3 linked regions of the Coturnix japonica genome follow. The protein of the gene in region 3 interacts with the protein of the main gene of each other region in a pairwise test. Links are inferred from orthologs where the notes say so. Each region holds a gene or a part of one and is shown on either strand. Other genes may lie near its edges. The genes, in order: KCTD9, TRIM42 and LONRF1.

Region 1 (4,089 bases), on a different chromosome or scaffold from region 3:
ATTAACAAAGCTTTCTGGAGTAATCCCAAAATCAGCAGTTGTTACAGTTGCAAAATCGACACTTTTTCTCCTCTGTTTCTCTGCTAATTCGCAATAGGATTTTTCTTCTGCTTTGAGCCTTGCAGGCGTTGAGTAGCACTCATCTCCCAAAGGCACGGATCTACCTGAAACATTCTCTTTGCTGCTCAGAGGCTGGGCAGCTTCACCAACCACAGCCCTTTTTGGAGTATCTAAGGGACATTCTGACCACTGATGGCTCTCAGCATCATGATACAATTCCTGCTCTTGGCCTTTGGTTCCATTGCTTACGTTCTCTTTCTCAGATGCCATTTCAGGCTCAGTCACTTTGCAAACCTTCCACTCTTCTAATGGGGATCTCTTCAGTCACTGCAAGATTTCTTCTCTCATTGCCTTCATCTTCCAGCACAGCATCTCTAACCTTTGATGACAACGTGTTTTAAGCCCGAAGAAGCACAAAGTTATTCACTTGCCTCCAATAACAACAGCTCCCTGTTAAAAAATGACAAGTTTTAAGTCATTTGATAAGGAAAACAGCCCTGTAATGATATGAAATGACTGCAGATCTAGAAAACCACTTGGGGAGGGGGGAAAGGGGAAGAATAGGGAAAGCCTTATGGTAAGAGAAGCACAGAAGCTTGGCTATGGGTAAGGAAACACAGGCTTATGCTTTTATTTTGTGGTAAATATATACATTTAGCGTTTAAATGCCCGTTTTAAACGCAATTGAGGTATGAATAGTATAAAGGGGAAGGGGAAAGGGGGGGGGGGTTCTTTAGGTCTCTCACATCTTTCGCATTACTGGGTTTCTCTCAGGTATTAAAGCTCAGGGAAACAGGCCACAGCAGCAGCTCACGAGAATACGCGTTAGGTTCCACGGACCGGGCTGTTTAAGGCAATAAGGGCCATACAAGGGCCATACAAGGGCCATACAAGGGCCATTACCACAGACCCCCCCCCCCCCCACCTCAGCCGCCATCCCCGCTCTCCCCTCACGTTCGAACCGCGGAGCCATCAATGACCGTTACGCGCCGCGCCGCCATTTTGAATTGCAACGGTCGCCGTCCACGTGACAGCGCGCACCAATCGCGAGCAGCGTTTGCTTTTAAGCACCCAACTCCTGTTTTTGATTGGCTGCTGGTACCTCTGCTTCCGCCCACTCGTTGTTTCCCCGCCCCTCCTGCGAGGCGCGTTTCTCATTGGCCAGCGGCTTGGCTGCGATTGGTTATAGCTCCTGTCGCTCAGAGAGCGCTGACTTCCGGGTTTGGTGGCAGTATGAGGCGGGTCACGCTGTTCGTTAACGGCAGTCCCCGGAACGGGAAGGTGAGGGGTGGGGGGGTTGAGGCCTGTGGGTCGGATTTGGGAACCTGAAAGTGAGTTTCTGAGGTTGTTCTATTTTCCTCTGCTTGCTTTGGGACTGGAGGGCTGCCTACTGTGGCCGTGATTGGGGTAGTGGGGTCTGAGGGGCCGGGTTGAGGCCTAGGCCTGTGTATGGGGCAGCACTGGGCCTAGGCCATATAGGACCCATAGACCCCCATACAGGCCCCCATAGACCCCATACAGGCCCCACAACCCCATATGGGCCCCATAGACCCCATACAGGCCCCACAACCCCATATGGGCCCCACAACCCCATATGGGCCCCATAGACCCCATACAGGCATAACTGCTCTTCAATGCAGTTCAGCTCCCATTTAGTGGTGCTGTGCTGATAGAAACATGCCCTGAGCACATTAGGGATGTGCTGAGGTCTTCCTGTGCTGTGCTTTCTGTTGGGTAGCTGATAAATAACCTTTTTTTCTGCTCAAAGCTGTGAAGCAATGTCTATAGCAAAAGCATATCAGGTTTTAAGGCCCAATGCTGCTCTGGGATGGTAGCAGCCCTAATGTGGTTTCCTTCTCTTTGCAGGTAGTGGCTGTATATGGCACGCTGTCAGATTTGCTGTCTGTGGCGAGTAATAAGCTGGGGATCAAAGCAACCAGTGTTTACAATGGGAAAGGTGGGCTCATCGATGATATTGCCTTGATTAGGTAAGGTTGATCCCATAAATGCCAAGTCGTGGATGGAGATTAATAGCTTGTTAATGCTCTTAATAAGGGCAGGACCATCTTTCCTGTGAGGAAAGGCTGAAGGAGTTTGGCTTGTCTAGCTTGGAGAAGACTCCAAGGAGACCTCATTGTAGCTTTTCAGTAATGGAAGGGAGTTTACAAGCAAGAGGAGGGACTGACTTTTTACATGTTGTAATAGGACAGAAGGAAATGGCTTTAAAATAAAAGATGAGATCTAGGTTGGATGTTGCTGGGTGGGGCCCTGGACAGCCTAATCTGATGGGGGGCAAGCAGCCCACAACAGGGGTACTGGGGATCTTTAAGGTCCCTTCCTAAGCCATTCTATGAATAACAAGTGATTACCATAAAACCAGAGATTATTTTTGAAAAGGAGACAAACTATGGTATGGTTTTGGCTTCATGTAACATAAAGCACCTCAGAGTGGGGAGAAAAGGAACTATTTCATAAAATTAAAGCTGCTGAATATCAGAAGTGATCCCTACCTGGCTGATACAAGTCTCTATTGGTAGCATTTCTAGTGCAGCTGGTAAAATTGCAGTCATCTGGAACCTGCGAAGTTAAGAGAACAATCAGATTCTTGATTCTAACTAATGGAATCGGATTATCATATACCTGAAACTAATCAGGAGAGGATCCCAATGTTACTTAGATGAACATATAGCTGTTTAATCAATTTTTTCCTGTTTTTCTTCCCTCTGCCCTCTCCCCTTCCAGGGATGATGATGTTCTGTTTGTATGTGAAGGGGAACCGTTCATTGGTAAGTCTTTAACTCTTCAGCCTTCTGTTTACTTAGGCAGATAGTAACAGGACAAGGGGGGATGGATTTATGCTAAAAGAAGGAATAATTAGGGTAGCTGTTAGGAGAGTAGTGAGGCCCTGACACTGCTGTCCAGGGGAGCTGTGTGTGCCCCAGGCCAGGCTGGATGAGACCCTGGGCACCCTGATTTGATGGGAGGCAGTGGCAAGGGATGGGTGGGCTTTGAGGTCTCTCCAACCCAAGCCATTCTATGCTTCTATGCTTTGCTTTAGTGTAAATTTTGACCTGTTACCATATGGAGGATTCAGAAATGTTCACAATTCTAACATCTGTCTTCTCATCACCTGTGTAGATCCTCAGACTGATGCAAGACCTCATGAAGAGCTAACGGGGGCACATACAGACTGGCTAACACTCAATGTTGGAGGTCGATACTTCACCACCACACGGTAAAAATGAGGCTAGTTGAGCTGGAATTACCTTCAGTAAGGTTGCTATAGTAGCTGGGCTGTGTTCAGGTACTGAGACTTTAGATGCTCTTGAGAAAGAACAAGAAAAGTCTTTTGCTGTGGAGTAGGAAATCTTTTGCAGCTTTTTTTAGTATTAGGCATTTGTTGCCACCATAAACAGTTCACATATGTGCTGACAGTGGTGAAAAGCCTGAGCAGGTCTGCATTTATCCCTGGAACATTTCAGCTAATGAAGTGCTTTCTATTTGAAGTACTTTTGGTACACCTTAGATCAGAAGTGTGCTTTATCTCCTCTGAAATCAAATTAGCACAGAGTTGGAATGCATATCATGCACCGTTAATTACCTTCAGTGTGCCAAGGAAATGCATTCCTTCCAGCATATTGGTCTTATAGCAAAACTTTCCACTTGAAAAATAAAACTGCACTGCCTTTCTTTTCTAGGAGTACTTTGGTTAATAAAGAACCTGACAGTATGCTGGCCCACATGTTTAAAGATAAAGGTTAGTATCTCAAAACTCTCCCTTTAAGCTAACAAATTAGCCAAACAGGTAAAAGGCATTATTAAGTTAAAGCTCTTGTTTATGTGTTGAAGTATTAAAAGTATGTTAAAGCATCAAAGCACTACTTATGATCATTTTCTCTAGTTGTCTATTTAACCTTTGTTCATATAGTGTTTATCTCACACATTGAAACTAAAACTCCCATCCAGAGCTAATACTTTATAATAGAGTCTGTTTTTCTAGTTTAGACTTTTCTGGCTGTTGCATTTTAC
Region 2 (4,073 bases), on a different chromosome or scaffold from region 3:
ATTTTTTCCTACCAAATGAATGCAAAAGCCATTCAATGTGATAAAATTAAATATGCACAGAAAAAAAGTCTTACTGCTGATAAAACTAGAAAGACAAGTGGTATAAACAACATCCACTGAATGTCCAGGCTATGCCATTCAGCACACAAATCTAATACTTCTGTGTGAAAATCTGATTGACATAATAGACTATAACCGTTGCAAAGAACCCATTATGTCCCATCATGTAGATGGCTGCATATAATGATACAGCCATTGTAGTCTGTAAGGCTCTGGATCAGTGAATTAGAATTTCTTTATGTAGAACAGACTTTCAGCAAATAGGATCAAGACCCATTTTAGTAATTCCCAGTTATGCATTCACCCATCATCACAAGCTGAATTACTAAATTTCAGGAAAACTCAGATACATAAAGTACAGCAGCCACTTATAAAAAGCAGCATTATTGAGTATGTATCATAAAGCTATCACTGTCCTATAAAAGTTTCCAGTAAGAGAACATGCTTTTTCAGATGTCAGCTGCAGGCAACTTAGTGGGTGGCTCTTGTTTTAGTTAGACGTAATCATTACAGTAAACTACTAGTATGCACTTCTGAGAAGTTCATGTATTTTTTACAATAATTTCATTTTTATTTAAAATTATAATCTCTGCAAATAGACAAAAGCACTATTTAAATCTTCAAATAAATTAGCTAAACAAAAGAAGAAAAAGGCGCTTGATATGAAGTAACTAAAGAATTAGGCCTAATACTGCATTTATAGAAGAGTGGTCAGGATAAGGGAGGTGAAGAAACACACTTGGACTTAGAGGGGGAAAATGCAAGTCCACTGTGAATGAGCACTGAACTTGAGCTCCAAGGATGGTTCCTTCCCCAAGTCTCGGAGGACCAAATGCCATACACTGTTCAAGCGCATCAACACTGACAAAGACTTATTACAGTTACAGATAAAAGACATACTCAAAGACGCATATCAAGTGTAAGTTTCCTTTACGTGTCATAGCTATATTTGAAGCCAACAAAATGACTGTAAAGTGTGTAGTTCTAACAAGACTGTTGCCTTGGGATAGCTAATCCCACTGCACAAACTATTCATGCTATTAATGGAGAGTGAGGTAAATGCTGTCTATGATTTCAAGAACAATTAGAAATATCATGACATATAGATGTTGTAAATCAGCATACAGAGCGTGTATAAAATGTGTATAAACATGTATATAGTACCCTGCCTGCATCCTTATTTGAATACATCACTGTGACATCACATTCCATTTAGAACAACATGCACTGCCTACAGCACAGACCTTAACCCTAGAGTCAGACAGATCTCTTGCCTTGTAGGAACCCAACTGCAATAATTTGAAGAGAAGCTAAAAGGATAAATGAACTTTCTTTCAGCTGTATAATGGAGGGATAGATGAAAATGGATATATGCTCATGCTTCTCAAACTGCTGTAATCTGACTTGCCACAGCGTAAAGAAAGAATGCCGCTCATCTTGGCGCTTCCTCTTTACAAATGAGCAGTACTGCAGCTGTTTTCCGTGCCCATACGAAGAGGACAAATCTTACCAGTGCTGCCACTGCTCATGTTCAGAGCATGCAAATTGCTGGTGGTGCTGTTGCTCTTGCTCAAGTAACCCAGACTGCAAATGCTGCTGCTGTGGTGGTGAGAATTCAACGTGTCAATACTATGCAAGCAAATGCTGCAGAATCTATGTCTTTGAACCACGATGGTCAAGAGCACCAGGGACTGCTCAGTAAGTGGAATCAAGGGCTTTTAGTTTTTATAGGTTTAAATTTTTCTAATTTTCATTCCATCTTAATGGATGTCTTGCATTTAGAAGTATAAGATCCAGTGGCTCAGTGGAGTATTTCAAACCACAGGATATCATTCTTTCTTAAAAGCAAAAAAAAACTTTTTTTTTTTTCCCTACCATTCTCTAGAGTGACAAGAAAAGAAATAGCATGGCTGAACATCTGGGCAGAGAAGGTGCTAAACTGAAGCATGGCAGAAGGCCAGATTGTAGTCTCCTAGAATCAGGAGTACATCCTGAATAATGATGCTCTTTGCCAAGGATATAGAAAATGGCCAGGATCATTATAAAAGTAATACTCTTTTTTTCAAACAATAATGTCCACTGGCTAAGAGGAAAGCCAGGATAATCAAGATTTAAAGAGAACGCAGAGAATCAGTTATTTTCTAAAATACAAGAATTATTCTAATTTTAATAAAAATATCCAAATTTTGATTCTTTCATGTTAATTGCCAAAATTTTAATGATGTAAGACTGCTGCTAAGAATAATCTTCATTTGTTTTAAAAATCAGAAATAATGAGTGATTTTTTAAAATAATTAAAATTTAGGATCCTTCTATGTAAATGTGTGTTGTTATTTTAAATTGAAAAGTTTTTTCTTTTTCATTTTATTTATTTTTGTGTTCTGTTTATAAAAAGAAGCAAATGAGAAGGAGACAAAAACACATTCCAGACTGCAGTAAACCAAAATGAAATCTGTTTTTTGGACACCAGTATTAACTCAAGAAATTCAGAGAGACTTGACAAGAGTAAGATTTCTGCCTACTCACATTGTTGGAAACAGCATTCAAATACACTGAAATAGTTACGAAAATGAAAAGAATGAATTCTTAGTATTGTTAACTTAACTGTTTAAATAAAATATCCTGTCCAAATAAAGGGACGGTTGGCATGCAAGATGGATCTGCTTATTTTATCATTCTGTTTCTTAGATTGTGCACTGATATTCTGCCTTACATTTTCATTTGTTTGCTTCCCCCCCCCCATTTGATTTGCTTAAGGTCAGGAGATGTCACATCAAGATTAAGAACTAGATATAGCACATCTGCCAGTATACCAGAAAGGAAAGGCTCCAGCCAGGCTTTTCGTGACCAGCTTGCCTGTCCACTGTGTAAACAGTTATTTCTCCAGCCACTTATGCTGCCATGCAATCACTGCATTTGTGAGAAATGTATAATAAAAAGCAAGACCAAAGCTGAAGCAACAGAAAATTATTACATCATCATATGCCCGGTGTGTAGCAAAGCTCATTGTCTCCCTTGCACAAACAAAATTCAGCTGAGGAAGAATTACCTTAGAGCAAAACTAGCCAAGAAATACATGCGCAGACATGGCATTCTGAAATGGAGATTTGACCACAGTGTAGGACCAGTCCATTGTGAAGCTTGCAGGGAGAGAAGAAAAGTGGCAACTAAAAGATGTAAAACATGTGGAATGAACATGTGCAATGAATGTCTGCATTTATATCATGCTGAGAGTGGAGCTGAAGACCACATTTTTACCAGTGCATCTCAAGAAGATAACGAACAGTGGGCATGCTTACTGCACCACAACTCACACCTCTCTGAATACTGTCTGGATGACCACAAACTGATCTGTTGTTTCTGCAAGAATTTGCAACACAGTGACCATGAGACCATCCCTTTGGCAGCTGCGTGTTCAAGAGAAGCTGCTTCTCTCTCCAATACAATTGTAAAATTTAAAGAAGGTTTGTATTTCTGCTGCTTCTTACACTTCCCTATGCCATTGCAGGAAAGATACTTGCACATACACTTGATGAGCCACGTTAATTCTTTGAATATCACAAAAGGCAGAAAGATGAACCATTCCCACTGTGGAAATACAGAGGAAAGAAGCCTTTAATTGTGTGGAACCACATGACAAATTCAAATACTAGAGAACAAAGGATTTGTATGTGAGATAGTGCATCTTGGTGTAGGAAACTCCATTTCATACTGCGAGACCCAGTGTGAAACAACCACAAATTACACCTACATTTTTAAATCAGAAGTACATGCCTTTTTCCCTGCAGGCAAATTATGAATTGTCTCTCTTCAGTCAGTATTATGATTGTGTCCATGCTGAGTAAGAGGCAAGACAGCCTCAATGTTCTGAGGAGCTACAGCAATGTCACTTCCTTTATCTAAGAGTTCATCCATAGTGTCTGAGTGACAGTGCAGAGACTGGGATTTTATGAATTTCTTTTAAATACTTTGATTTTTGCATATAACACCACAAATGCTGGGGACAGACAAAG
Region 3 (4,196 bases):
GGCTTTGCATTGTGGAAAAAAAGTCTTACAATGGTGATGGAAAACCATACTGACTGCTCCAAAAGTAATGCCTCCTATTTATTTCCATGGAAACTACAACACTCACAACAAGTACAATAACATCATAGGAAAAATTCTCAGCTGAGGAACACTATATATATATTTTAAACACAGTCACCAAAAGCTAAGCATTTTCGCCAGCAATGAAGGGGAACCCGCATGCTGTGCACTTAAAAATCTGCATGGCCATCCAGAATGGGGTTTGTCTCATGTCTCTGTTGTCCCTGCTGAAATGCACCACCCACTGCCTTACTGTGCTGACATCCAATGTTTGGTCTCTATAAACATTCAGCAAGTCCTACTATCTGTTGCATGGCAACAAAATGTCATTGAATATTGGCAGGATGGAACAACCCCTACTGCCATATCATCACCTGCCTCTGAAATCATGGGCCAGCATGGTAAAATAGAAGGCATTACTTTTGGAGCAGCCCTCCTATCTAAATTCCATTATCGGATATTAACTAAACCAGAAAGAGTTTGTTTGAACAGTCAATTTTAGCAGCCCAATATATCACTCACTCCTGGCATATCAATACAAGTTACTGTAACTAAAAAACAAGAAGATACTGAACATCTTCTGGGCAGAAAAACGTGCATTGGATATTACTGCTTCTGCCTACTGTCAGCACAAGCATATTGTAAATGAATTGCTTTTGGTCAGGTCCTACATGCTTTTTACCTGGTTCTTAAAAATACACAAAATTCTTCAAAAATAAAAGCTGCACACTTTGTATTGGTGTTCAGAAGAACTACAGGACACGGTATGTATGAATGCAGTACGACAGGGTCGTTCCAATGGTCTGGGGTAGGAACACCTGAGAATAGGCTGAGCTAACTGGTCTTGTTTAATGAGGAAACACTGGAGGCAGCAGGGGAACCCAGCAGCCTCCTGAAATCCCACAAGAGGTTGCCTAGATCTGACACACACATTGGGGAAAAACAAGAGACAACGGTTATAAACCAGAATGACAGTATTTCTGCCTCTATACAAGCAGAAAATGTTTCACAACGATGGTACTTAAGCTTTGAACATGTTATCCCAAGCAGCATCAGAATCTTCATCCTGGCGGTGTTTTCATCGTCCAATGGGACAAAGCCTTCAGCAAACTGTTCTAACTCTGTGTTTGCCCTACTTTGAACACGGGGTTGGTGAACAGATCTCCTAAGGCCCCTTCAGCAGGAACAGGTCTGTGACTGTGCTCAACCTCGGGCGCGTTGGGATTAAAGCCTTCTTTTACATAAGGTAATTCCTTCCAATCCCTGCGCAGCACACGTAACCTATGCGAACGTTACCATTCCTCGTGCTTTTCAAAAGCAACGTGGTGAGAATCACTAACTTCTCACGCAGGTTTCAACAAATTTCCTTATGACCCGTGTAAATCAACGTTGTACTTCTGAACAAATAAAAAGCTCTACCGACAGCCCCAATATTTACAACAGGAAACGGGACCTGCGGGGCTGCCGACAAACTCCCAGCTGCACAACGCCAACACGGCGGGTCACGGTGCCAGCACCATCCAGGTGTATCCGCCCCCGAGCCGAGCCCGCAGGGCGCCCAAAGCCGCGGCCATACGGCGCTCCGCCCGGCGGCCCCGCCCGCCCCCCGCAGCCTCGCCCGGCACCAGACGGGGCGCGGCCCCGCCCGCCATGATGTCACCGCCATTACACAACCTGTCCCCGCCGTGCCTCACGCTTATGCAACCGGGCCCGGCCCGACGGAGCCGCTGGAAATAGGTCTCTGTCAGGAAACGGGGTTACGCGAGGCGCGGCCGCCAAGGGACGCACCGAGCCCGGTCAGCGCGGCGGGAAGGAGGCACCGGAGCGCACCTCAGCCCAGGGGGAGGCTCCCTGCGTCCGCTCAGCAAACTTGGAAAACTTCGGAGCACTGAGGGACGGCGTGCCGGGCACATCCCTCCCTGTCCCACCCCGGCCCCCCGCTCACCTGCCCGCAGCGCCTGCCCGGCGGCGCCCAACGCCTCTCGGTATCGGCCGTGTGCCAGCAGTTCCTCCAGCCGCCCGCCGACCCGCGCCCGCTCGCACTCTCTCGGGAACCACTTCTCGGCCAGCTGGCTCAGCACCACGCTGGTCCGCAGCGGGGCGGCGGCCGAGCCGGTGCCTCCCGCCGGCAGCAGCCGGTCCCGGCAGCGGCGGCAGCGGGCCCGCAGCTCCCTCCGCAGACAGCGGCGGCAGTAGGTGTGCCCGCACGGGACGGTCACCGGCTCGCTCAGGAAGCGCCCGCAGCCGCAGCAGCGCAGCGGTCCCTCGGCCGCGCTTTCGACGCCGCGCTCCCGGCCGCGGCCCGGCCCCTGCCGCAGGCGGTAGTTGAGCACCAGGCACTCCACCAGGGTCCCGAAGCGCCGCGGGCCGGCGAGCGGCCCGAGACACAGCGATGCCAGGGACGAACCCGCCGCTTCCTTCAGGCGGCCCCTCCGCTCCGCATCCGCCTCCTCGCCGAGTCGCCCGCCGCCTCCCGGCTCCGGCGACGCGTCCGAGCCCACGGCCACGGGAGAGAACGCCATCGGCTGCCGGCTCGGCCGAGGGGGGTGTGGCGCTGCCGCTCCGGCCGGCGGGCCCGGCGCTGCGCACGGCGCTGAGGCACTGGCGGCGCGGGGCGGGGGAGGAAGCGAGGCACCCTCCGCGAGGGGTGGGGTCAGGGGGGCGTGTCACGTGCGCGCCCCGGGGCAGCGGTAGGTGCGGGGCCGTACGAGCTGCCCGGCCGTACGAGCCGCCCCGTCCCGCCCCTTTCTAACGTCTCAGCGCGACCTCGCCCCGCCGCTTACATAAAGAGCCGTGTCAGCTGACCGCCGGGCCGGATCGCCATTGGTGGGCGCTCCAGGGGCGGGAGCGAGGCGGTTACAAAACGCTGCGCCGCGCGCGTTCCGTAACAGGGCGGGAGGGGCTGGGCGGGTGGCAGGAGGGGGCGGTGCGTGAGGGTGGGCGCGGCCGGCCCGTAGGGAACCAGCGTCGGGTGCTGCCCTGCCCCGGCTCCAGGGGGAGCGGGGGACGAGGGGAGGGGGTGTCCCCTGGGAGAGGGGTCGGTCCCGCCGCTTCGGGTTGTGGCTCCTATAGGCGGTGCCGCTCCTCAGAGCGCCTCCAGCTCCGGTGAGGGTCGGGCGATGGCAGCGCTGCTGGGGGCGGTGGGAGGGGGAGCAGCCGGTTTTCTCGACCGCTTTTTGTTGGCTGTGTATCGTGCCTGTGGGATGGCTGAGGTAGAGCTGGTCACACGGTGCTGTAACTACTAAGTTTTCCGGGAGCATAAAATAGCGAGCTCAGTGTTTTTGGGATGTCCCGGATCAGCTATAATTACAGTCTCTTTTCATGATACAATGTTGAGGGTTTCCACGTGTTTGTTAGCCTCTAAAGGAAGTATGGAATCCATGGTGTGACATCCAGGTGTATTATCAGAACTCATTCTCTCTAAACCCCATCCTTTATGTTTCTGGTGCCTTTCTGCTTCCTAAAAGATGTTTTGTTAGTTGAAATATCAAGGGGGAACGTGGATGGCTTTTAAATGTGAAGAGAGAGCAGAGTCTTGAAGTGGTTATTCGTTAAAATAGTCGCCGTGACTTAGGAAGTGGCAGCCTAAGGAAAGATCAAAGTAAAAGATGCTTGGAGTGTGGATTTGAATGGTGGTGGGATAAGGCAGAATGGTTGGAATCATGGGTAGTTTCAGTGGTTATCGCATCTTTTTTAGACTTAGGAGGAAATATGAGGACAAAGTTTCAGGGAGACAAGAAGGGATTTAAAGGAAAACCCTTTAGGAAATAGGGTGTAAATTCATTTCCAGTGCATTTTTAAAGGTTCACGTGTTAACATTCATACTGATCATTTGAACGTTATTGTCAAATCAGCTTTTGGATAGGATGGATGAATGGATTGATAGGGAGCCTGACACTATCCTGCTCCCACCAGTTTTAGAGAGCTATCTTTAGTATCTTCCTTCACAGCTTACTCTTTATGTGAGCAGTGCTTACTCTCACTGTAAGCCTTTACTGTCTGCTCATGTTTGTGACACATTCTGTTCTACATTCGTAGCTGTCCTCATTTCTCTTGGAAGCTTGGGACTTTATGCATCCAAAATACATTGTCTGGATTTAGGTAGACAAAAGTTTTTTCTTTTCCTGTGTGGTTGT

What was found.
Region 1: the proteins of LONRF1 (region 3) and KCTD9 interact in binary tests that used the Homo sapiens proteins (3 or more experiments, as listed by UniProt). The two-hybrid records come from large-scale screens. The link is inferred for Coturnix japonica from reciprocal best matches to the Homo sapiens genes LONRF1 and KCTD9.
Region 2: the proteins of LONRF1 (region 3) and TRIM42 interact in binary tests that used the Homo sapiens proteins (3 or more experiments, as listed by UniProt). The two-hybrid records come from large-scale screens. The link is inferred for Coturnix japonica from reciprocal best matches to the Homo sapiens genes LONRF1 and TRIM42.

The regions. Positions count from the first base shown.
Region 1 is NC_029537.1:1,992,410-1,996,498, forward strand, and holds the start of KCTD9 (BTB/POZ domain-containing protein KCTD9), read left to right. Parts: upstream 1-1,244; 5' UTR 1,245-1,293; coding exon 1,294-1,341; intron 1,342-1,926; coding exon 1,927-2,048; intron 2,049-2,802; coding exon 2,803-2,846; intron 2,847-3,198; coding exon 3,199-3,295; intron 3,296-3,758; coding exon 3,759-3,817; intron 3,818-4,089. Other genes in the region: CDCA2 (cell division cycle-associated protein 2), read right to left, coding at 1-330. UniProt on the Homo sapiens protein: Substrate-specific adapter of a BCR (BTB-CUL3-RBX1) E3 ubiquitin-protein ligase complex, which mediates the ubiquitination of target proteins, leading to their degradation by the proteasome.
Region 2 is NC_029524.1:5,100,659-5,104,731, forward strand, and holds the start of TRIM42 (tripartite motif-containing protein 42), read left to right. Parts: upstream 1-1,265; 5' UTR 1,266-1,417; coding exon 1,418-1,758; intron 1,759-2,817; coding exon 2,818-3,524; intron 3,525-4,073.
Region 3 is NC_029519.1:58,362,969-58,367,164, reverse strand, and holds the start of LONRF1 (LON peptidase N-terminal domain and RING finger protein 1), read right to left. Parts: upstream 2,824-4,196; 5' UTR 2,583-2,823; coding exon 2,006-2,582; intron 1-2,005.